4 linked regions of the Saccharomyces cerevisiae S288C genome follow. The gene in region 1 interacts genetically with each later gene. Each region holds a gene or a part of one and is shown in the gene's direction. Other genes may lie near its edges.

What was found.
Region 2: mutations in FMS1 (region 1) and CMS1 together harm fitness more than expected from each alone (negative genetic interaction), as found in Saccharomyces cerevisiae (2 studies listed by BioGRID).
Region 3: mutations in FMS1 (region 1) and CUB1 together harm fitness more than expected from each alone (negative genetic interaction), as found in Saccharomyces cerevisiae (2 studies listed by BioGRID).
Region 4: mutations in FMS1 (region 1) and MLO127 together harm fitness more than expected from each alone (negative genetic interaction), as found in Saccharomyces cerevisiae (2 studies listed by BioGRID).

What each region holds. Positions count from the first base shown.
Region 1 is NC_001145.3:312,328-317,403, forward strand, and holds FMS1 (polyamine oxidase), read left to right. Parts: upstream 1-3,049; coding exon 3,050-4,576; downstream 4,577-5,076. Other genes in the region: STB4 (Stb4p), read left to right, coding at 1-2,678; MAC1 (Mac1p), read right to left, coding at 4,838-5,076. UniProt on the Saccharomyces cerevisiae protein: Involved in the production of beta-alanine, a precursor of pantothenic acid. Multicopy suppressor of fenpropimorph resistance.
Region 2 is NC_001144.5:155,644-160,268, reverse strand, and holds CMS1 (Cms1p), read left to right. Parts: upstream 1-2,538; coding exon 2,539-3,414; downstream 3,415-4,625. Other genes in the region: TFIIH/NER complex subunit SSL1, read right to left, coding at 1-220; THI73 (Thi73p), read left to right, coding at 764-2,335; NOC3 (Noc3p), read left to right, coding at 3,935-4,625. UniProt on the Saccharomyces cerevisiae protein: May play a role in the regulation of DNA replication and cell cycle control.
Region 3 is NC_001148.4:47,174-52,318, forward strand, and holds CUB1 (Cub1p), read left to right. Parts: upstream 1-2,129; coding exon 2,130-3,785; downstream 3,786-5,145. Other genes in the region: fumarase FUM1, read left to right, coding at 163-1,629; YPL261C (uncharacterized protein), read right to left, coding at 1,823-2,131; APM1 (Apm1p), read right to left, coding at 4,071-5,145. UniProt on the Saccharomyces cerevisiae protein: Involved in bleomycin tolerance with links to DNA repair and/or proteasome function.
Region 4 is NC_001142.9:501,280-508,304, forward strand, and holds MLO127 (Mlo127p), read left to right. Parts: upstream 1-2,656; coding exon 2,657-6,022; downstream 6,023-7,025. Other genes in the region: putative E3 ubiquitin-protein ligase HUL4, read right to left, coding at 1-2,112; GEF1 (Gef1p), read left to right, coding at 6,467-7,025.

The sequences.
Region 1 (5,076 bases):
CTATCGGGAATACTGATGATGCACTTGATACTAGTACAGCCGCAAGTAAAGAAAATGGAAAAGGTAGACTCAGGGTTCAAAAAGCTTGTGAACTTTGCAAGAAGAGAAAGGTTAAATGCGACGGTAACAATCCTTGTCTGAACTGCTCTAAACATCAAAAAGAATGCCGTTATGATTTCAAAGCTACAAACCGTAAAAGAAGAAGACGACAGGTCGCATCAGCTGTTCGGGACGTTAGTAAGACATATGCAGAAACCAGTGAGTCTTTTCCTAGGGACTTGTTAAGTAAATCAAATATTATCATAAATGCCCCCTCAGATGGTGTATCTTCGTCTGCTAGCAACTCTCCCAATCCAAATTCACATTATCATCATATATCATCCACTTTACCCTTCATGAGCGGTAGGCCAAACCATACATTCCATTCCGGAAGCAACTTAAATGGAGAAAATAACAATAACAGTTTTCCGGAGGATCACATGGCTAAATTACTTCTGCAATTGAGTTCAAAATTGGGGAATACGACCAAGGAATCGTCAATTAGAACAACTAGAACCAATGCTAGTGATGTGAATGCAAACCCGACAGTGGTCAACATGAAAAATAGTCAGGAAGACTGTGACACGAATCACAGGTCTGCAATATGTGACTCTGCAGAGGCTCTTCATAATAACAACATCAATTCTAAAGAGAATAAGATAATCAACTCTCAAATAACTAACACTGTTAATGATCACTTTGAATCACCCTGGCAGACATTTTCTTTAGATAAGTATAGGTTTCACCGACGCTACCAAAATATTCTGCCCTATTACCTTGGTGTATCTATTTTAAAGGATCTATCTCCGCAGACAATAGAGTACGCGAAGTTGAAAAGGCCAAGAGTTCAAAACTATGGTTGGAACTTGTCAGGAGGCCATTACTTAAAGTATAAGGGTGACTTTAGAAGCCAAGAAAAAAATATAAGGCATGAGTCTAAATTTTTCGACTTTGATGACCCTGTTCACTTATCCTTAATCAATAAGTTACTAAGGTATTATTTTGATGAGATCAATCCTGTTTTCAGTATCATTCACGAAGCGACATTTTGGCAGCAATATAACAATAAATTTCTACGGCAAGGTAAACAAAATAATTCATCTGCGAATCTATTCACTTCCATGCTTTATCTAATTTTGTCTACTACACTAAGATTCAGAGAAGGGCATCTAGATGGTCAGAAAGGGCAAGGAACCTACAGTAACACATCCTTAAATATCACATTCGAGGAAAAATCTATTTTGATCAAAAAACCCTCCATAGAGGAAAATTTATTCAAATACGCTTATTTAATAATCAACACGCTGACCTTTGAGTGGGAATCATTCGAACTAATACAATCGTGGCTTTTGATAACCTTCTATTTCAGAACCTGTTACAGACAGACGGCGTGCTGGAACGCGTTAAGTCAAGCGGTGAACATGTGTAATGGGATGAGTCTATATTTAAACAAATTTCCTGAGATCCATTCCACTTATGATGAATCAAAAGCATGGCATTGTTTCTGGTGTTGTTTTATAATGGATAAGTTGATAAGTTTTCAAATGGGTCGATTCTACCAACTATCATTACCCGCGAGCGAGATGTGCGAACAGATGAATCTAGTGAAGTCAAAGAAATTTTTACAAGAAGAAGATGATTGGTTTCACGAAGAGACTTTTCAAATGCTTGATTTGTCCATAATAGTGACACAGTTTTTAAAAAGAGACGCACAGGATTTAAATTTGAACGAGACCGTGCAATTGCGCAGCCAACTTGGTCAATGGTATGACACCTTTATAGTTGGAAGTCAAACCAATGCGTACGACGACAATTATCGTTACTTCTATCAAGTTCAACCATTCATGACATACCTGGATATAAGGCTGACTTTCGAAGTAAGACAATTATTTTGTCTAATCGCCCCCTCATCTACCGCAAATAATAAATCCCTAGAATATGTCGTCGATACTGAATTGTTAATTTCTCATTGTCAAATGGCTATTGAAAATTTGGCTGAAATTACGAGAAGTAATCTTTTCTTTGTTCCGTGGTGGTTAAACCTTTCTCAACTATTCACGGTAAATTTAATATGTATTATCTACCTGCACGCAGGGATTGCCGTAACTCAAAATAAAGCTATCATGCAAAGCTGCCAAGAAATATGGCGAACCTTAGAGTGCTCTAAGCCAAAAAATCGGCCTTCAATGCTTCCTGAGTGCTTGTGGTGTTTGAAAATGCTGAATCATATGTTCTGCATACGACTGAGAGATTCTGCTTTGCAATTGGAAGCTACTCTCGGAACTGATCATGGTGATGACACCCCTAATAGAAATAAGTTTGAGCAGTTCAAGAAAGTTGGCGATAATGATGCGGATGTTGAAGTTGATGCTGGTGAAAGAGAAGAAAATGCTGATGAAAGACAAGAAAATCCACATAACAATAGCAAAAGAGTACCATTAGCTACTAGGTCTCATAATACCACTAACTTCGACGGTTCAATCGCAATTTCTCCGGAAAGTGCAGTAGCAAATCTAGGTACTGATACTGGATTGCCCTCAGATGTTCTTGATACTGTCAGTAAAATAGGGAACTCTCCTAATGTGTTTGATGATGATTTATTTTCCAATTTATTATGGTTTGACCAAAATTTTGCATAAGGATTCTTTTTCTATTCCATAAAACCATTTTATGGACACGTTTACCTACATATTATTATATTGTATATAAGATGTTGAAAAAATTGAGTCAACCTCACCTTACCACATGTTGGTCCGTTGCTATGACAAACTCTCGTTTTACAAGAAGGAGGCTCAAATTTCGGGTCACCCACCCATATACGGATGTCACGCTATGAGATCTTTTAAACAATAGACAATTTTTGGTATCCTAAAGATATAAAAGAGGAGTTTTTTTAAACCATGGTAACTATTTTCAAATTTGCTCTGCTGCAGTTTTTTATTTCTGTTTTTCTTTTTTTGTTCCCAACAAGAAGTGAGTTAATAAAGGCAAAAACAGTGGTCGTGTGAGAATGAATACAGTTTCACCAGCCAAAAAAAAGGTTATTATAATTGGTGCCGGTATTGCTGGGCTTAAAGCTGCATCTACGCTACACCAAAACGGTATTCAAGATTGTCTTGTTCTTGAGGCCAGAGATCGGGTCGGTGGTAGGTTGCAAACTGTCACAGGCTATCAAGGTCGGAAATATGATATAGGTGCTAGCTGGCACCATGATACGTTGACAAACCCTTTATTTTTGGAAGAGGCTCAACTGAGTTTGAATGATGGGAGAACGAGGTTTGTTTTTGATGACGATAATTTTATTTATATCGACGAAGAACGTGGAAGGGTAGACCATGACAAGGAACTGCTTCTTGAAATTGTGGACAATGAAATGAGCAAATTCGCAGAGTTAGAATTCCATCAACACTTAGGAGTTTCAGATTGCTCCTTTTTTCAATTAGTAATGAAATACTTACTACAAAGACGCCAATTTCTCACAAATGACCAAATAAGATATTTGCCACAACTCTGTCGATATCTGGAATTGTGGCACGGCTTAGATTGGAAGCTTTTGAGTGCCAAGGATACATACTTCGGTCACCAAGGAAGGAACGCCTTTGCTTTGAACTATGATTCTGTGGTTCAAAGAATTGCTCAAAGCTTTCCTCAAAATTGGTTAAAGCTAAGTTGTGAAGTGAAATCAATTACACGAGAACCTTCAAAAAATGTGACAGTGAACTGTGAAGATGGTACTGTGTACAATGCTGATTATGTTATTATTACAGTACCTCAAAGTGTATTGAATTTGTCTGTACAACCTGAAAAAAATTTACGGGGAAGAATAGAATTTCAACCACCCTTGAAACCAGTGATTCAAGATGCTTTTGACAAGATCCATTTTGGAGCGCTAGGTAAAGTAATTTTTGAGTTTGAAGAATGTTGTTGGTCGAACGAAAGTTCAAAAATTGTAACTTTGGCTAACTCTACCAATGAATTTGTCGAAATAGTACGTAATGCGGAAAATTTAGATGAATTAGACTCTATGCTAGAAAGGGAAGATTCTCAAAAGCATACGAGTGTTACTTGTTGGAGCCAGCCTTTATTTTTCGTAAATTTGTCAAAAAGCACAGGAGTAGCAAGCTTTATGATGTTGATGCAGGCACCGCTTACAAATCACATAGAATCCATTAGAGAAGATAAAGAGCGTCTTTTTAGTTTTTTCCAACCTGTGCTGAACAAGATTATGAAGTGTCTAGATTCTGAGGATGTCATCGACGGAATGAGGCCGATAGAAAACATTGCAAACGCTAATAAACCAGTCTTAAGAAACATCATCGTTAGCAACTGGACACGCGATCCTTACTCACGCGGTGCTTATTCGGCCTGTTTTCCAGGAGATGATCCAGTTGATATGGTTGTTGCAATGTCTAATGGTCAAGACTCCCGCATAAGATTTGCAGGCGAACATACTATCATGGACGGCGCCGGCTGTGCCTATGGTGCTTGGGAAAGCGGAAGACGGGAGGCGACTCGAATCTCTGACTTACTGAAATAGAATCTATTTTTTCGAAATTACTTACACTTTTGACGGCTAGAAAAGGATATACATACATATTAAAATTTTTAGTAACACTCTGTGCTTTTTCAAAAATTTGAGGTACACCTAATTCTCCCACTTGTTGCTTATACCAAGTTTGAACAATTTTAATGTTAAGCACAATAGATTGGAATATTATCATATGGTGGTTCAGAGAGTAGTAGGGTGCATTTTCATTCCTGTTGCCTCAATGTGTTTTCTATCTGTATTTACGTGATTTTATGAAGTGGTGGCATCGCTTAGATGTGGTGCATAATTAGAGACTAATTTTTGAAACCACGCATGAATGTCAAGTAATTCTAACTGAGCATCTGTCATCAATGGCACTTGCAACTTCAAAAAATCCCACCAATATTTTGACGGCACCAATTTACCTTTGAATTTTATTTGAGTTTTCCTTGTTAATCTTGCATTCAGAATTCCATAGAAAAAGAATTTTTCAAATGGAATTATATTTG
Region 2 (4,625 bases), on another chromosome or scaffold:
ACCCACCATTTGAACCTTGCAGGTTTCTATTCGAGAGCCTTTTCTTCTTCTTACGCTGCACATGTTTATCCCTATCCCTGTGGCTTGAACTGTGCTGCTGTTGCTGTTGGTCTACACGATCATCTCCCTCGCCATCAAAATGAACTTGTCTCTTAGTTCTTCTAGTAATGGCAACTCTATCCTCATCCTCTTCAGATTCTGAAATAACTACAGGAGCCATTCTACTGCACAATCCTTCCGCACACACGCAATTAGCTGCCGACTTGCCCCACTAGTAATCACCTGCATCTATATAAGATAAGATGAAGACCTTTTACGTATCTTGAAAAACTATACAATAGCAAAGAAACCTACCACCCAGACCCTGTGCGGAGTATCTCGAACTTCCAGTATATTACTCTCAAGTAGATGACGCGTAATAGACAGGTTTTATTGGCAAATTTCGAGTCGCTATCATTATCAACATTAATTATAGGGTGGTGTTTGGTTGGTTCGAGTGCCGTCATAACTATTTGTTTTTTTTGCATATCTGGTTGATCCTCCTTAGTTAATATAGTCTCTTTGAGTTTCCCTTAAGGAACTGTCATTTGGTCCGGCGGAAAACATGGTGGTGACAGACAGCCTTTTCAGAGGTGATGAGCAATCTCGATGAGCATCTCAGCGGGTGCATATATACACGTATATAAGATAGTTCAAAGTATGATAGATTAAAGTTTACTTTGTTGTTGCTGAGAAGTAGTGAGAGTGTCAGCAAATCAATACAATGAAAAACATGTCACAACGATCCATGGACGTGGAGAAGAAGGCAGCTAACGCTGATAGTTGTTCCGTAAGTACCTCGAGCATTAATGTAGACGATGCGGACGTTGCTTTAAGATTCCTGAAACAGAACGGTCTCGACGAAAGCTCCACGGCTAATGAAGACGATGTTGTAGCAGGCGAAGAAGCCAACTTCTATGGTTCCCATGAATTATCTCCTAAGGTCCTGAGAAAAGTTGACCTCTTCATCCTGCCCTTTTTATGCTGTACATATCTTCTGATGTTTTTGGATAAGGCTCTGCTGAACTACGCTGCATCTATGGGTATCAAAGATCATTTGAAAGGTAACGAATTTTCTAATTTGGGTACTATCTTTTCTGCTGCTTACATTTTCATGGAACCTGTGGTCACTTACTTAATTCAAAAATTCCCCATTTCCAAAATCCTAGGTACTTTTATTACCGTCTGGGGTATCGTGTTGGCTTGCCATGCTGCTTGTAAGACGTACGCCTCGTTGATGGTCGTTCGTACTCTCCTAGGTCTCTTTGAATCCTCGAGTGCAGTTGGTTGTATCGCTATTAGTGGTATGTACTATACTAAATCTGAACAGAGTGCAAGAATTGGATTCTGGGCCACACAGGCTGGTACAGGTTATATTGTGGGCGGGTTAATTTCTTTTGGCTTTTTACATTATCATGGTACCGCTTTCACCTCTTGGCAAATAATGTTTTTGGTCGTTGGTCTGGTTACAGTTGCGTTTGGTGTTCTAACATTCTTATACCTTCCAGATAACGTCACCAATGCTTGGTTCCTAAACAAAGAGGAAAAAATTCAAGTTGTTGAGCATATCAGAGCTAACCAAACTGGCCTGGAAACAAAGAAGTTTAAGAAGCAGCAAGTTAAAGAACTATTCCTTCATGATAAGTTTACTTGGCCGATGCTTTTATTAACTGCATGTTCTCAAATTTCTACTGGTGCCATTGGTACATTTTCAGTGACCATCACTGGTACTTTTGGTTTCGACAAGTACGAAACAGCATTACTGCAGTTGCCTATTGGTGCCATTACGGCTATGATTATTCTTATAACAACTCAAATGTTGTCCCGCTGGGGTCATATCACACTCATAACCACATCTATGTATATTCCAGCTATTATAGGTTGTATCGTTCTTATCAGTTTACCCTTATCCCATAAGATCGGTAACTTATTTTCTCTGTACTTGCTTTACAGTGGTTCCTGTGTCATTACCAATATTTACATCTGGAATTCATGCAACACCTCCGGTTACACCAAAAGAGTTTTTAGAAATGCTATTACAATGATTGTATACAATGTCTCCTGTATTATTGCTCCACAGATGTTTAGGGCATACTCTGCTCCACGTTACATACCAGCAAAGATTGCCTTATTGGTCACTCAGTGTGTTTGTGTTCCCCTACAATTATACATTGGCTACATTTGCAAGAAGGAGAACGAAAAGCGTGATAAGGAACAAGAAGGTCAAGAAAGGAAGAAGTACCAATTTTTGGACTTGACTGATATCGAAAACAGAAATTTCAGGTACATTTACTAATAATCAACTTTTAATTTACAATATATAATATTTTTAGTCTGTAATATTCAATATTCAAAGACACCCAAACATTCATTGCACTTGGTATTTACCAAAAAATTGAAGAGAAAATTTTTGAGATGACCATGGATGAGGCAATGAAAGTCGAAATTTGATCCCCGCTACTAACTTCTAAACATATCGTCAGGACAATTGAGCTGAAAATGTCTAATCCAGATGATTTAGATGATGGACTCGCCTATGATTTTGATGCCGAACATGAAGTAATTTTTGACGCCAAGGATGGTAGTCCCCCAACCAAAAAGGTACAAAAGAGGTCTATAGAACAAGATGACGATGACGTTGATGATATAGATGGGAAAAAAGAGGAGAGAAATTCAGAAGATGATTCGAATAGACCTATTTCGAAAAGACAGAAAAAGCTACAGAAAAAATCAAAGCTAATTGAGAAAAAGAAAGAGGAAAGCCAGTATATCGTCTCACAACGAAAAGCACTTCCAGCAAGTTCACCAGAAAAAATTATTGAGTACCTAACAACTTTGATACGAGAAAAAAATCCTGACTTGAGTGTTTTAGAATTAGAGGAACTTTACTTCAAAAGAAATGATTTTCTTTCGACAGAAAAATTTGACGCTGAACGCAGATTAAGCAATTTCCCAGCCTTTATTCAAAAATTTTCCGTAGCTCCAAAAAAAATTGTTTTTTCTATGTCTAATATTAGAGTAGCAGACGTTTATCGTAGTCTAAACGGTGGCAAAAATTGCGTCAAATTATTCTCTAAAAGTAAACTAAAGGATGACATAGCCACCGTGGAACGTTTACTTACTGACAGCTCTAAAAAATCAAACAAAAATAAAGATTCACTATATTTTATTGCCACTCCAACAAGAATGCAGAAAATTATAGAAGCTACTGACTTACTTTTCCAAGGTAAGGAAAAGTTAGATATCATTCTTGATGCAAGTTATTTAGATCCTAAGGATAATACTATATTATCATTCGAGAATGCAGCCGTCCTCTGCCAAGTCTTGAAAACCTTTTTGAATAAAAAAAGCTCCGTGAAAATACTGTTATATTAATAATAGCGCTTTTTCACTGAGGTTCTACACATAAGATTACGTTTTTAAATACCAGCCTTAATTTAGTATATTAAATATTTCATTCTAGCATTTGATGGGGTACTTCAAATTATCTTCTTTAAATTGTCCAAAGCCCTTCCAAAAAGTAAAATCAAAGGAGAAACTTCGAGAACGCCTAGGCGCGCAGCAAACTCCATATATAACAATGTATTTTTTCTTTAACTACATAAAACCAATTTATCCTATTTTACTCTTTCCATGGAGTGTATGCTTTTTTGTAGTTACTTAGATTCAGAAATTCAATGTCTTCCCTCATTTTCTTCACCGTAGAGTAGACCATGGGACGTCGTTTTACTTTAGTTTTTGAATTTTTTCAGCGATGCCCGAAAACTGAAAATTTTATCTCATCTCATTCACCTGCCTGCCATATATAGTATTTTCATGGTATAAACTTGGCATTTTATGTCTTCAATCATAAGAGTATAATTCCGGGATAAAAGCTGGAGATATCATAGTAATAATGGCTAAGAGAAATAGATCTCAATTTCGCATTCAGGAAAGGACTGCAAAGAAAAGAAAGCACGAAGATTCCTTGTTAGAAGGCAATGTTTTCCAAAATGCACCGGAAGATATGGATGAAAATACCATATATAGCGCAAAAGGCTCATCCTGGGATGAAGAAGAACAGGATTACGAAATGGTTCCTCGGAAGAATCGGTCTGATACATCAAATCTTGTTGAAGGCCTGCCTATAAAAGTTAACGGTAAAGTTGAAAGAAAATTGCATAAAGCCCAAGAAAAACCAAAGGACGATGATGAGGAAGACGAAGACTCTAATGACTCTTCAGAAGATGATGAGGGACCTAATGAAGAACAAGAAGCAGAGGCAAAGGAGGATGAGCCTGATACGGAGGAAAAAATTCTGCAACTAAAAGAAGACATTGCCGATTTAGTCACTAAAGTTATGGAGGAGCCTGAAGAAAATACTGCTGCGTTGGGGCGTCTATGTAAAATGGTGGAATCTAAAAATCCTAATACTTGTAAGTTTTCCATGTTGGCTTTGGTCCCCGTGTTTAAGAGTATCATACCAGGCTATAGAATTCGACCACTAACTGAAACTGAAAAGAAGGAAAAAGTTTCTAAAGAAGTCTCCAAGCTTAGAAACTTTGAGCAAGCCTTAGTTTATAACTACAAAAATTACGTCGGAAGAT
Region 3 (5,145 bases), on another chromosome or scaffold:
TGACTCTAGCTCTTTCTTCTGGGATATTCATATCGTTTCTCCATTACATACAGTCATTTTTTTGCATTTTTAAATTCGTGACTTTTAGTACTGCAGCTGTTTTTTTTCTCACGTCAAGAAATTCCATAAAGTCTAACTATTAAACGGATAAGAGATACAATCATGTTGAGATTTACCAATTGTAGTTGCAAGACTTTCGTAAAATCGTCATATAAGCTTAATATAAGAAGAATGAACTCCTCGTTCAGAACTGAAACCGATGCATTTGGTGAGATACACGTGCCTGCTGATAAGTACTGGGGTGCCCAAACTCAAAGATCCTTTCAAAACTTCAAGATTGGTGGCGCTCGTGAAAGAATGCCATTGCCTTTGGTGCATGCATTTGGTGTTTTGAAGAAATCTGCCGCGATTGTGAATGAGTCTCTGGGGGGATTGGATCCCAAGATCTCCAAGGCTATTCAACAGGCCGCTGACGAAGTGGCTTCTGGTAAGCTAGACGACCACTTTCCATTGGTTGTTTTCCAAACGGGTTCCGGTACCCAGTCTAACATGAATGCTAATGAAGTTATTTCCAATCGTGCCATTGAGATCCTAGGAGGCAAGATTGGATCTAAACAAGTCCATCCAAACAATCATTGCAACCAATCTCAATCATCCAATGATACTTTCCCCACTGTCATGCATATCGCTGCCAGTTTGCAAATTCAAAACGAGTTGATACCTGAGTTGACCAATTTAAAGAACGCCCTTGAAGCCAAATCCAAGGAATTTGACCATATTGTGAAGATCGGTAGAACACACTTGCAAGATGCCACGCCTTTGACACTAGGTCAAGAGTTTTCCGGTTACGTGCAACAAGTTGAGAACGGTATCCAAAGAGTGGCACATTCTTTGAAAACATTGAGTTTCCTGGCACAAGGTGGTACTGCCGTTGGTACAGGGTTGAACACCAAGCCCGGATTCGATGTCAAGATAGCCGAGCAAATTTCCAAAGAAACTGGACTAAAGTTTCAAACCGCCCCTAATAAGTTCGAGGCTTTGGCTGCTCACGACGCCATTGTCGAATGTAGCGGTGCTCTAAACACCCTTGCTTGTTCTCTTTTCAAAATAGCGCAAGATATAAGATACTTAGGGTCCGGGCCACGTTGCGGCTACCATGAACTAATGCTGCCAGAGAATGAACCAGGTTCCTCAATCATGCCTGGTAAAGTTAACCCAACCCAAAACGAGGCATTGACTCAAGTGTGTGTGCAAGTCATGGGTAACAATGCAGCTATCACGTTTGCCGGCTCTCAAGGTCAATTCGAGTTAAATGTCTTCAAGCCAGTCATGATCGCCAATCTATTGAATTCGATCAGGTTAATTACTGATGCCGCATATTCATTTAGAGTGCACTGTGTTGAAGGTATCAAAGCCAATGAGCCTCGTATTCATGAGTTGTTGACTAAATCTTTAATGTTAGTCACCGCTTTGAACCCTAAGATCGGTTATGATGCCGCTTCCAAGGTCGCCAAGAATGCTCATAAGAAGGGCATTACCTTGAAGGAAAGTGCATTGGAATTGGGTGTATTGACTGAAAAGGAATTTGATGAATGGGTTGTTCCTGAACACATGCTAGGTCCTAAATAAACGAGCTAAATACCTAATAATATACAAGTTTTTTATGTCTTATTATATGAAGGAAAATAAGGAAGTGGAGAGAATTTGTGATTCAGCAATGGTCCCTCCGCTAAGGTCCCGCCTCTGGCCAGTTATGTCAGAAGAGGAGCATAGGCATACATTCCATTTTTGATGGCTTAATGGGGCCCATAAATTTACATCACTACATTATTATTCCTATACAAGTTATAATAAAATAGTTCATAAATGAATATTTTGCGTCATTTTTTAATTTCTTGTCGTCGGGTAAGGGACCTAGTATTACCCGCATCACGGAAAGGGGAATTTTCAGAAATGATAACGAATAAGAGAGTACACCAGAAGAGCAAATCTCTTTAAGAAGTTTAGCAGCAAATATCGGTTTAAAAACAAACAAAAGCAAAGGAAAAGAACTACTAAATCTTCGAGGACTTTCCCAATTTTTAAAACGCTGAAATTGTATTAGAAGAGAATAACTGTCTAAAAAGAGCATGTTTGCATCCGCTGGACAACAACACCCTCAAATTGTTCCTAAGGAAGAGGAATCCATATTAAACTACCTCCTTGAAGTGAGATCCTCCTTGGCTAAACTCAAGCAAAATAGGACCCAGTATTTGAACTCTAAGGATGTCCAAACTACTTACCAACACGTCTTGACCAAAGTCAGAGAGTTGGACGATATTAGGAAGAATAGTCATGAGACGCCCGCTAAGAGCGCCGCCACCCTGATTCATAGTACTGAATTGCATAATAGAGTTGACTCCGTACTGGATGATGTCTTTCAATTGCTCTCGTTGTGTTTTTTAACTGTTGGGCTAAAAAATTCTGCACCTGCGACTTATGCATCGTTATCTACTGTGGAGAGTCTTTTGGAACATTTAAATGAATCAAACGTCTTCACCCATCACGATTTGAGTCCTATTAAGGAAAGGCTGGAAGAAATCAGCAAGATTGTCGAACAAAAAAACTCTAGTCCTGCGTACGATGAGGATGGAAATGATGACCGATTAAGGGAAATCGACAACGAAAGGAAAAAGAATAAAATTGAGGAAGACCTATTACTACGTGCTAAATTAAAGCATTGCAAGGACGAATATGATATATTGGAAGGCAAATTGGAGGAAATTGATCCGTCTTTGTCTACTGTAATGGAAAAGTTATTCCGAATTAGAAGAGGTTTATTGTCATTAGTTGCATCTGCTAAAAAAACAATGTCTAAATCTGATATTAATACCAACTCTTTATTGCAGGAACAAAATGATTTGCAAACGAACAATGAAAGCTTAACGGATGACAAACATTTAGTATCTCAAGAGTATGTCCATGAGAAATTATCAGTTTTGAAGAACGAATTAAGTGAATTAGAATCTAATCGTGACGATTCTGGTAAATTCAAGTCCTTGGAGTCTCATCAGGTGGCAGAAAAAGGCCAAAGTGTCCTTAATGGTTTATTGGATGATTGCCATGATTTAGTTAACGATTTATCACACCAAAAAAATGGCGGGTTGACTTTAGATCCATATTTACAGCCAATATATGAACAGCTGATTGATATAAAGACTACCTTAGAAAATTTAATGATCACAAGAAGATGGACTTTGAGAGAAACCGATTTATTTTCTTACCAAAAAAAATTGAACGAAATTGATAACAAAAGAATCAATGGTAAGTTTCCAACAAAATCTCAGGACTCAAAGGGGCAATCAATACTTTTATACCTGTTGCGTAGATGTTATGCCATAATTTATAAACTGTTGGAAAGTTCAGAGCCCGTATCTGAAGCGTTGCAGCCAATTCACAATCAACTATCTACAGTTCGTCGTTGCCTATTAGAATTGAAAAGAATGGGAGGTGTGAATAATGAAAGAGAGTTATACCCTTATCAAATGAAATTGGCTTCATTGGACAACCTGAGAACTGAAGGTATATTCTATGACTCTGATGGCAATATACCTGAAGGCCAAGGTATATTGAATGCTTTATTAGCAGAATGTTTTGATATCTTGCATGAATTAAAAGTGGAAGCCGAGGAAAAAGCACAGAACTCTACTTCAAGTGATGGTTCTGACGACGATGACAACGGAGAATCAGGCATAGACTCGAACTCAAACGACAGCGAGCCTGAATCTGAATATCAACAGGAATAGAGGAGAGTGTTTCTTTATCTTCCATTTCTCCCTATTTTCTTGGTAGAGGAAAACATTATAAACAATAAAATGAAATACAGAAAGAAAAAAAGTTATTCTCTTATGTCTATGTATATAACAAACCCTGAATGAGCATCTATATAAAAACAAAAATATATAAACAACTTTATGTCATTATCATAATTGTCAATGGGAGGGGGGAGAAAAAGAGGAATAAGGACATACGTACCCTGTGTCTTTGTCCATGCACCGTAGAAATTGCTTTTTTTATATATTTTTCAGACATTACGTCAGCCTTATTGTATAATCATCACCACTTTGCGTGATATATCTTACCCATGGGTAACTCTTATACTGCAATTTGGGTTCGTTAATTTTAAGATAACGTACTTGAATACCTGAAGTAGTAAAGTAGGGTATTTGAAATTTGATTTGGACAGGTCCCTTCAAGATTTCCGCGTTACTTTTTGGCATTGTTCTATTGCCATCCTCGTTATTTGATATTGAAGGCAGTCCCAATTCGGCAGACATTGAGTACTCTTTACCACCGGGAAAACTTCTTATTTTCCATAAGATTGCACTTTTTTCAGGGACATACTTTAGAGACCCGTGTGAATATTTAAAAGTCGGTGTATCCGCGTCGTCCGGGACCGGTATCAATATCTCTACATTAGTTGCAGTAGATTTTCTTTTAATTTGGGCCTTGGCCTTACAGTGAATTTCAATTCTAGAATTCGAATGAACTTGAACGTTTACATCACACCAAATTAACGGTTTTATCGTAGTAGATAGTCTGTAGTTCATTAAATCGAACTTTCCATCAGGAGGTATAAACGTTATAATTTTTTCATTCTCGAATTTGCTTAATCGGACACATTGATGAAATTTCAAATCTTCCAATTCAATATTAACTTTCTTCTTGTTTGTGGCCGATGATGATGTTATTGATGGTTTTTTATCAGTTTCTGTGTTATTATCGGATGTTGTCGCGCTCGCTGATGGGATATTTGTATCATCATCCAAATATTTGGAGAAAATGCCTTTATCATTAATACCTAATTTCAGATCAGGCATACCAGACAATTTTGAGTTAACCTTAACATCGCCGATAATTTCTGATCTCAAAACTTGACCTTTTTGAGTCATGAGCATATTAATAGATTCGACGATATCCAGAAAGGCTTCATTTTTCTTGTGAGTGATGCCTTCTGGCCTCCAACTGACTGAATTTGTTAGTGCGACGGGTGGTCTAGTAGCATTCCTCTTCTTCTTGGCGGATTTAACTAGTTTGAAGGATTTTTGTGTTATGTACTGTTTCAGCATCTTAGTTTCTGTGATCTGTGGTATACCATAATCCATC
Region 4 (7,025 bases), on another chromosome or scaffold:
ATACTCTTTGCTCGATTTACTGTCATTTAAAATCCAGTTGTTATTTCGATACGTAGTCTCAAATGTTAAAGAAAAGACGTCTTCGAAATTATCCTCTGTGTAATTGAGCATTTTTATTAAGTTCCTACTTGTCTCCGGAAACAATTCCGAGTAATCTTCAAAACTCAGAGGCTCTGAGCATAGTTTTTTATAAAGCGCCTTTGGAAATTGTAAATCTAATATGGTACTGTTGAAAATCGCCAACCCCATGACAACTCCAAACAAGTAATATAATTCCAGTTGTGAGTTTTTTCCTTTTGATTTGTCAAAATTTGGAGGGTCAATGGCAAACCATGAACGTGAGCTTTCTTTTATGTAAATAAATAAGCCATTCATCGGATTAAACAGCGATTTTGTTAATAAGAAAAACCATTCTTTTCTCAACCCTCCCGCATCAATTCCAGGTTCATTAACAAACTCTATTCTCAGCGATTTTAATAAATCGCCTTGATGTTCCTTGATACATCTCAATGAATCATGAGAAATAACGTCACGCCGTACTTTGATTTTGAAATAAACGTCTACGGATTTGCCTTTATCCAGTGAAATTAAAAAAGCCTGTTCAGCTTCATGTTCCATGATTCTGCGAATTTCATACTCCATAATAGAGATTTTGATGCCGAGTGACAATATAAATGGATACTTACAGAATGAAAAACATTTTTTTGTCGTCGAATTTCCCCACTCTTCAATCAGTTGATTCATTTTTGTCTTTTGAGCTACTCCTCTCCAATGATCGAAATCTTGTTTATAATCTATGAAGTCTAGCGTTATATTGTAAAAGCTTTGAATTGACAACGCTCCACGGCCATTTCTTCTAGTATTGGCTACATAATAGATGAACGTCAATTTTGCTGCAGAGTGAATATGCCAGTCTTCCTCATATTGAAAAAATTTAAATTTCATCTTATTATTGACGGGATGCGTGAAACCACTTCCCTGTTTATCATTTGATTGTGCACTTATTGGTCTAGTACTCAGGAATTCATGGCCAGTAGTGTGATGCCGACGAAGACGAGATCGCATCTCATCTTCAGGCTTCACGTTATTTTTTGCGGTTCTATTTGATAATTCGTTCGACAGTAATCTGGAAAATTGGAAATTGATGTATAAATTTAAAATCTCTACCTGGTATGAAAAATTATCCGTAGGCGTTCGCCGTAATGATTGAATCAATTGTTGAGATGTTTTTGTTGATAGGTTAGACAAGTAGCCAATACATCGTTTGGCCAACTCATAAGACACCGCCCTTATTTGTTGGGTCTCAAACACATTTTTGCTCTTCCGATCTCTAATAAGGCAGGTTCGTATTGTAGGTATATTTAATATAATCAGCAACCAACGATACTGTAATATTTGCAAATTTTCCCCTTTATTGATTGTTATTCTCTTCAGTAGATCGTTACAGCAACACAGCATACTATAATACGGTTTCCTTGTAGGAAGATTTGATAATATACTGTAAAATCTTTGTAAAACTTCATAATTCAGCATCTTTATATTCTTTCCACCATCATGTACCAAGAACGACCTGTTTAAAATGCTAACATCATGAAATCTGTCCAGTAAATACGTTATTACCGGTTGGAAAATCAACCCCTTTCTTTCTTTATCCAGAATCCCAGTCTTCTTAAGCCGCTGCAAATCATCATGGCACCGCCTTACTACCATCTGCAAACCCTCTAATGTGCACGAAATATGCGTACTAGATTCCAAATTACTGTTAATTTCCGGCTCCTTTACAATAACTGTTACTTGGCATGCGCTGCATCGAAATTTCGTTATGGAGGCTGGAAACCGTAGTGGGACACCACAACATAGGCAATTAAGTGAAATTAGACAGGATTTATCTTCTTCCCCTGACACGGATGCCGAAGAGTTCCGCTTATTGCTTTTGCTATTTGAGCAACTTCCGTCCTTTACACTAGCGGCTAAGGACCGTTCCGACGTGCGCCTTCCTGATTTGGGTAACCTGTTCTTAGTATGGGCTACAGAATGTGATAGCAACTCCTTCGACACAGATCCATCTCTACCGTCTTTTTTTGCATTAAGCTTATCAAATAAAGAAACCATTTCCTATTTTACTTTACCTATCAGCCGCAGTATTCGAGAGATATACCTGGTAAATTTCACCAATGCCCTTAAAAATATGTACTTTTCTGCTTAAAGTCGAGAAATGCATGCAAAAACTTGCCCCTATCTAGCAATCCTTCGAATATATTTATCTATCTACCTGTTCCACATGGGCGGTTATACCTGACTCTTCAAAAAATCCTGTAACCTCCATTTTTTTCCTTTATTTGGGGCAATCACAAAAAAAGGGTCCCAGAAAGATATGACCCTACTCCCTTTTTGCCTTATTTAAAAGTGCTAGGAGATACAAGGTTAAAGCTAGACCTCGGTTAACGATGGGTCTTGACACGTAGGCGTTGCTCTCCTCTCCATAATCATAGTAAGTTGAGACAATCGTATACCTCCAAAGGAAGCACTTGTTGGCTTGACAAGAGACTCATGATAGACAGGAACGAGAGTCAGGGTAATTGGATAGTGGAAAGATGAAAGCAAGAGAAACGATGCAAAGAGGAGGCTGCCCAGGGCTTGGCGTATCCAATTTCTCATGCCAGCAGGGAGGATTCGTATAGCGATGACTGACAACATTATAGTAAGTGAGGTTGATGGTCCCCCGGATGTAGTTAAATGTTTTATTAGGGAAGAAGATGGACTCGAAGGACAGAGCCGAGAATTGGTGGTCATAGGACTAGAATATATAGATGTGTTTGAAGGGGTAGAACAAGATGAAGCGCGCAAGAAGTTAAGACTTAGGACTGTCGGATATACAATGGCAGCCTTTTATTTCAAAGATCATACTGCACCTAACCGAAGATTTTATATTCTGTTGAAAGCCACGGGACGGTTGGACTTCGTCAACCTTGATTACAAAATAGTGAAATCTCTGGAAACAGGAATTGATCAGGTAAGATCAGAGCCAAAGTTCATGTTCCAAGATCCACTACGAACAGCTCTGGTTTTTAATTTGTCATGCACTGAAATTTACGAGATTTCTACTGAGGACATTTTTTGTTTGGAAGAAACAGACGTTAAGCTGAGTTATGTGACATCCTCACCGATAGTATCCATAGATGCGTGTATCAATTTCAATGATTTCTTAGATAAGGATGTCTTTACGTTGTCGATTCTCACACGTGCACACAATGAGGTTGCATATAAGTTGGAAGCATGCGTGTGTGTATTCGAGTCTAAACCAGCCAAAGGAACGAAGTGGCAAAGAACTACCAATTTAACATTTGTGGAGGAAGCAACGGTCTCACAAGTACTTCTCAAATCGGTCACCAATATTGGTCATTTTGTTTTTACGCCATGGAAAACTTATTTTATTAAACATGCATTGTCATCGAAACAGACCATTGATGGTAAAACGGTAGACAAAATATACCAAGGGCCTGGTGCCTTTGGGTCTGATAACATGGAAAGAATCGAACTTTTGCAGCCTATTTTAGCGGATACCACATTAAATCATTTAACATTTACATTTATGACGAGTACTGCAATTCTAATAACATGCAGAATGAATGCAATCCTTAGCAGTTTTGAAGACGATACGTATATCTGGGAAAAGGCCTTGTTTGAGAGGCTTCCCATCAATGGTGGTTCCTCACATGATCACTACCTTGCAGCGTTTTTCAATGAGAAGTGTTGGATACTGGTATCCCCAAAGGGCCATCTTACAGTATATTCAGTCAGAAATGAAGGGCATAGTAATTTTGTTCATCTTGGTTCTTTTCTTTGCAAATCAACCTTATATTCCGATTTGATAGGGAACTACACCAAGTCACATTTATCTTGTGGATCATTACACTGTGGGCAGGGATACTTGTGCTTGAAATTTCGATCGTGTGGGGACATTTTCGCGTCCACTTGCATGAAGCTACTTTTCAAAAGTAAAGACAGTGTTCCTCGACAAGTTTACTCTACAAGAAAAGGTATCTATTGGGCAGATGTGAATAATAATGTTTACAGAGATAGTGAGCGAATAGACTTTGAAATAAATGGCAGTTTCATTGCTACTAAAGATGGAACTCTATTGAAAGATAACACTATCGTTACTTTGGTCCCAATTCAAAGAGATAATGAGTGTAATTACGCATACGTCACAAAACAAGGTTATCTGAGGTGGAGTTTTTCAAAGGTTTATTACCGGATTCAAAACACGGGAGTTGATTTGACTATAGATAATTGCTTTTTATCTGCTATATCTAGCAAGGGCTCTTTTTTGACTGTACTTGTTCTGAATGATGAAATAACGGTATTTGATCATTGCAACCGTTTGAAAAGCCAGAAAGTAGTTTTCCATAGACTTTCTGACTTAGCGTCCATTTTCCTATATGAATACGAAAGCACGGTCTACATTTTCATGTCTGACACCGAAGGAAACCTTTGCGTTATGAAATTGGCAACTTTTGAGATCGTAGAAGAGGTTAAAATTTGCAAGAAGAAGTTACAGTTCTGTGAAGTCCCTAACTCAGATTATTTTTTTATATATACAGCCGATACTATAATTTTTTTCAAGCCAAGTAAAATAAAAGGTAGATTTAAAATCCAAGAAGTATATGCACCATGTCCTATAAGCTGTTTGATACCTGGAGAAAAAGATGGCTCAGTTGTTATGGTTACTTCTCAAGGTCAATTTTACGACGTACTTGTTCCTGGTGATGCCGGAAGGGCTACTCTTTGTTCTAAGTTTGAAAAAGTTTTAAAAACATGTCTCAAATTTATAACTTTGGAATCTTCATCAAGATATGTGATTGTAGCGGCCCTGCCAGTAGCAAATCCATTGCAGGACAAGTATTCCGAAATTTATGTGTATGATATTAAACAGTTCAAAAACATTTCCGCATTCAATTTTTCTAACCTCAACAATGATATCGAGAGTATAAAATATGAAAACGCTATGATATCAGATATTATTGCCGTACCCATGCTCAAAAGAACCGAAACATTAGGAAAAAGAAAGACTTCTGAGCTGTATAAGGAAGTGATTTTCAATTCATGTATCTTGGTGTCTCTAAATTTAGACTCAATAGACGGTATTGATAGTAAAAATATGAATAACCTATTATTGTTTTCATTTGATGAGGAATCGGGTTTTATTGAATTTGTTTTTGGGATTAACACGGGGTTCTCAATCAGTGGGTTACATAACTATTACAATGGATGTGTTTTGGTTTATGGGGAGTTTGTGCAAGCTTATCAACTGAACTATTCAGTTCATGATAACAAGTTCAGTATTGAACAGGTTTCAAATAGGTTGAATATTTCTGGTATTACAATAACATCATCTATATTTTTTGATAAAAGGAAGGCAAAGATGGCTAGGAAGCAGCAAAATATAGGTACATGGGTTTATTTGGAAGAAATGATTTTACTTGATGTACGGAAAGGTGTGATGAGGTTCAATGTCATCCATACAACAGACGGTAACATAGAAAAGGTTCAATTGCAGGTACAGCCTCTGAATTTATTTGAGAGGGACCTCATCAATAGCATTACCGACACCGGGAAAATGTTTACCGGTGCAGCCGCTATAACTTTCAAGAATATTAGGTATCTACTAATTTCGTACGGTGATCAAAAGCTCACGTTATTTAGTTTAAAACTTGATGGTGAGGAAGAAATAGACGAAAGAGTGTACCATGTTGCTGAGCAAGTTACAACCATCAACTCTGTAAGAACTACTGATTCCAGAATGAGCACGTTTTTAGGCGAATCTACATTTATGCCCTTATTCTTAGTAAGTACCTTGTCTAACGGTTGTTATGTGATCGGAATCCTGCATGAAGAGTCAGATATCTCATTACATATCTTATCAGAAAAGAAAGCTGTCTTCGCAAAGCGGTCGGTTCAAAAGTTCCTGGGCTTCCTCGATCCTCAAATGGATGATCACACTGTAATATCTGAAATTTAGTGTCTACGTTATGATATATACACTTACAAATTTACTTTCCTTTTTTAGTATAGTTTTCAAGTAAAATTCTTGAAGCGGTGTTGTTTTTGTTTGTTCTTCGTTTAGCAAAAGTCATTGTTAAATACACGCTATAATATGGCCATGACCGTAGGACCGAATGCTGTCCGAAAAATGATACTTATCACACATTTCAAATAAGATCGGTTTTGTAGTTCAAAGATTTCTTAAGAGCCTTTTACGTGTTTCTTAAGAAACACTTCACATTGGCTATCATTATTAGTAAATAGATTTATATGATTTTCACTTATTAAGGACAGAAATGTCGCGATTTCGAACCCATAAAAAAAGGAAAAGCACCGCCTGTTCTCCAGTCTTCATAAAAGCACACCGTATAGAAAGGGCGGTGAATGTTGATCTTGCATACTATAAAATTATTTGACACTAATGCCAACAACTTATGTGCCAATAAATCAACCAATTGGGGATGGTGAAGATGTCATTGACACCAATCGATTCACCAATATTCCAGAAACGCAAAATTTTGACCAATTTGTTACAATTGATAAGATTGCTGAGGAAAATAGACCACTGTCTGTAGACTCGGACAGGGAGTTCCTTAATTCAAAATATCGACATTACCGAGAGGTTATATGGGACCGTGCAAAAACATTTATCACATTAAGCTCTACGGCCATAGTTATTGGATGTATTGCTGGTTTCCTACAAGTCTTCACGGAAACTCTGGTTAACTGGAAAACAGGTCATTGTCAGAGGAACTGGCTACTTAATAAATCCTTCTGTTGTAACGGCGTGGTTAATGAGGTTACCTCTACAAGCAATTTACTACTGAAAAGACAAGAGTTTGAATGCGAGGCACAAGGGCTTTGGATTGCCTGGAAGGGACATGTGTCCCCTTTTATAATTTTCATGCTTTTGTCAGTCTTATTTGCTCTAATTAGTACACTGTTAGTCAAATATGTTGCTCCTATGGCTACTGGTTCAG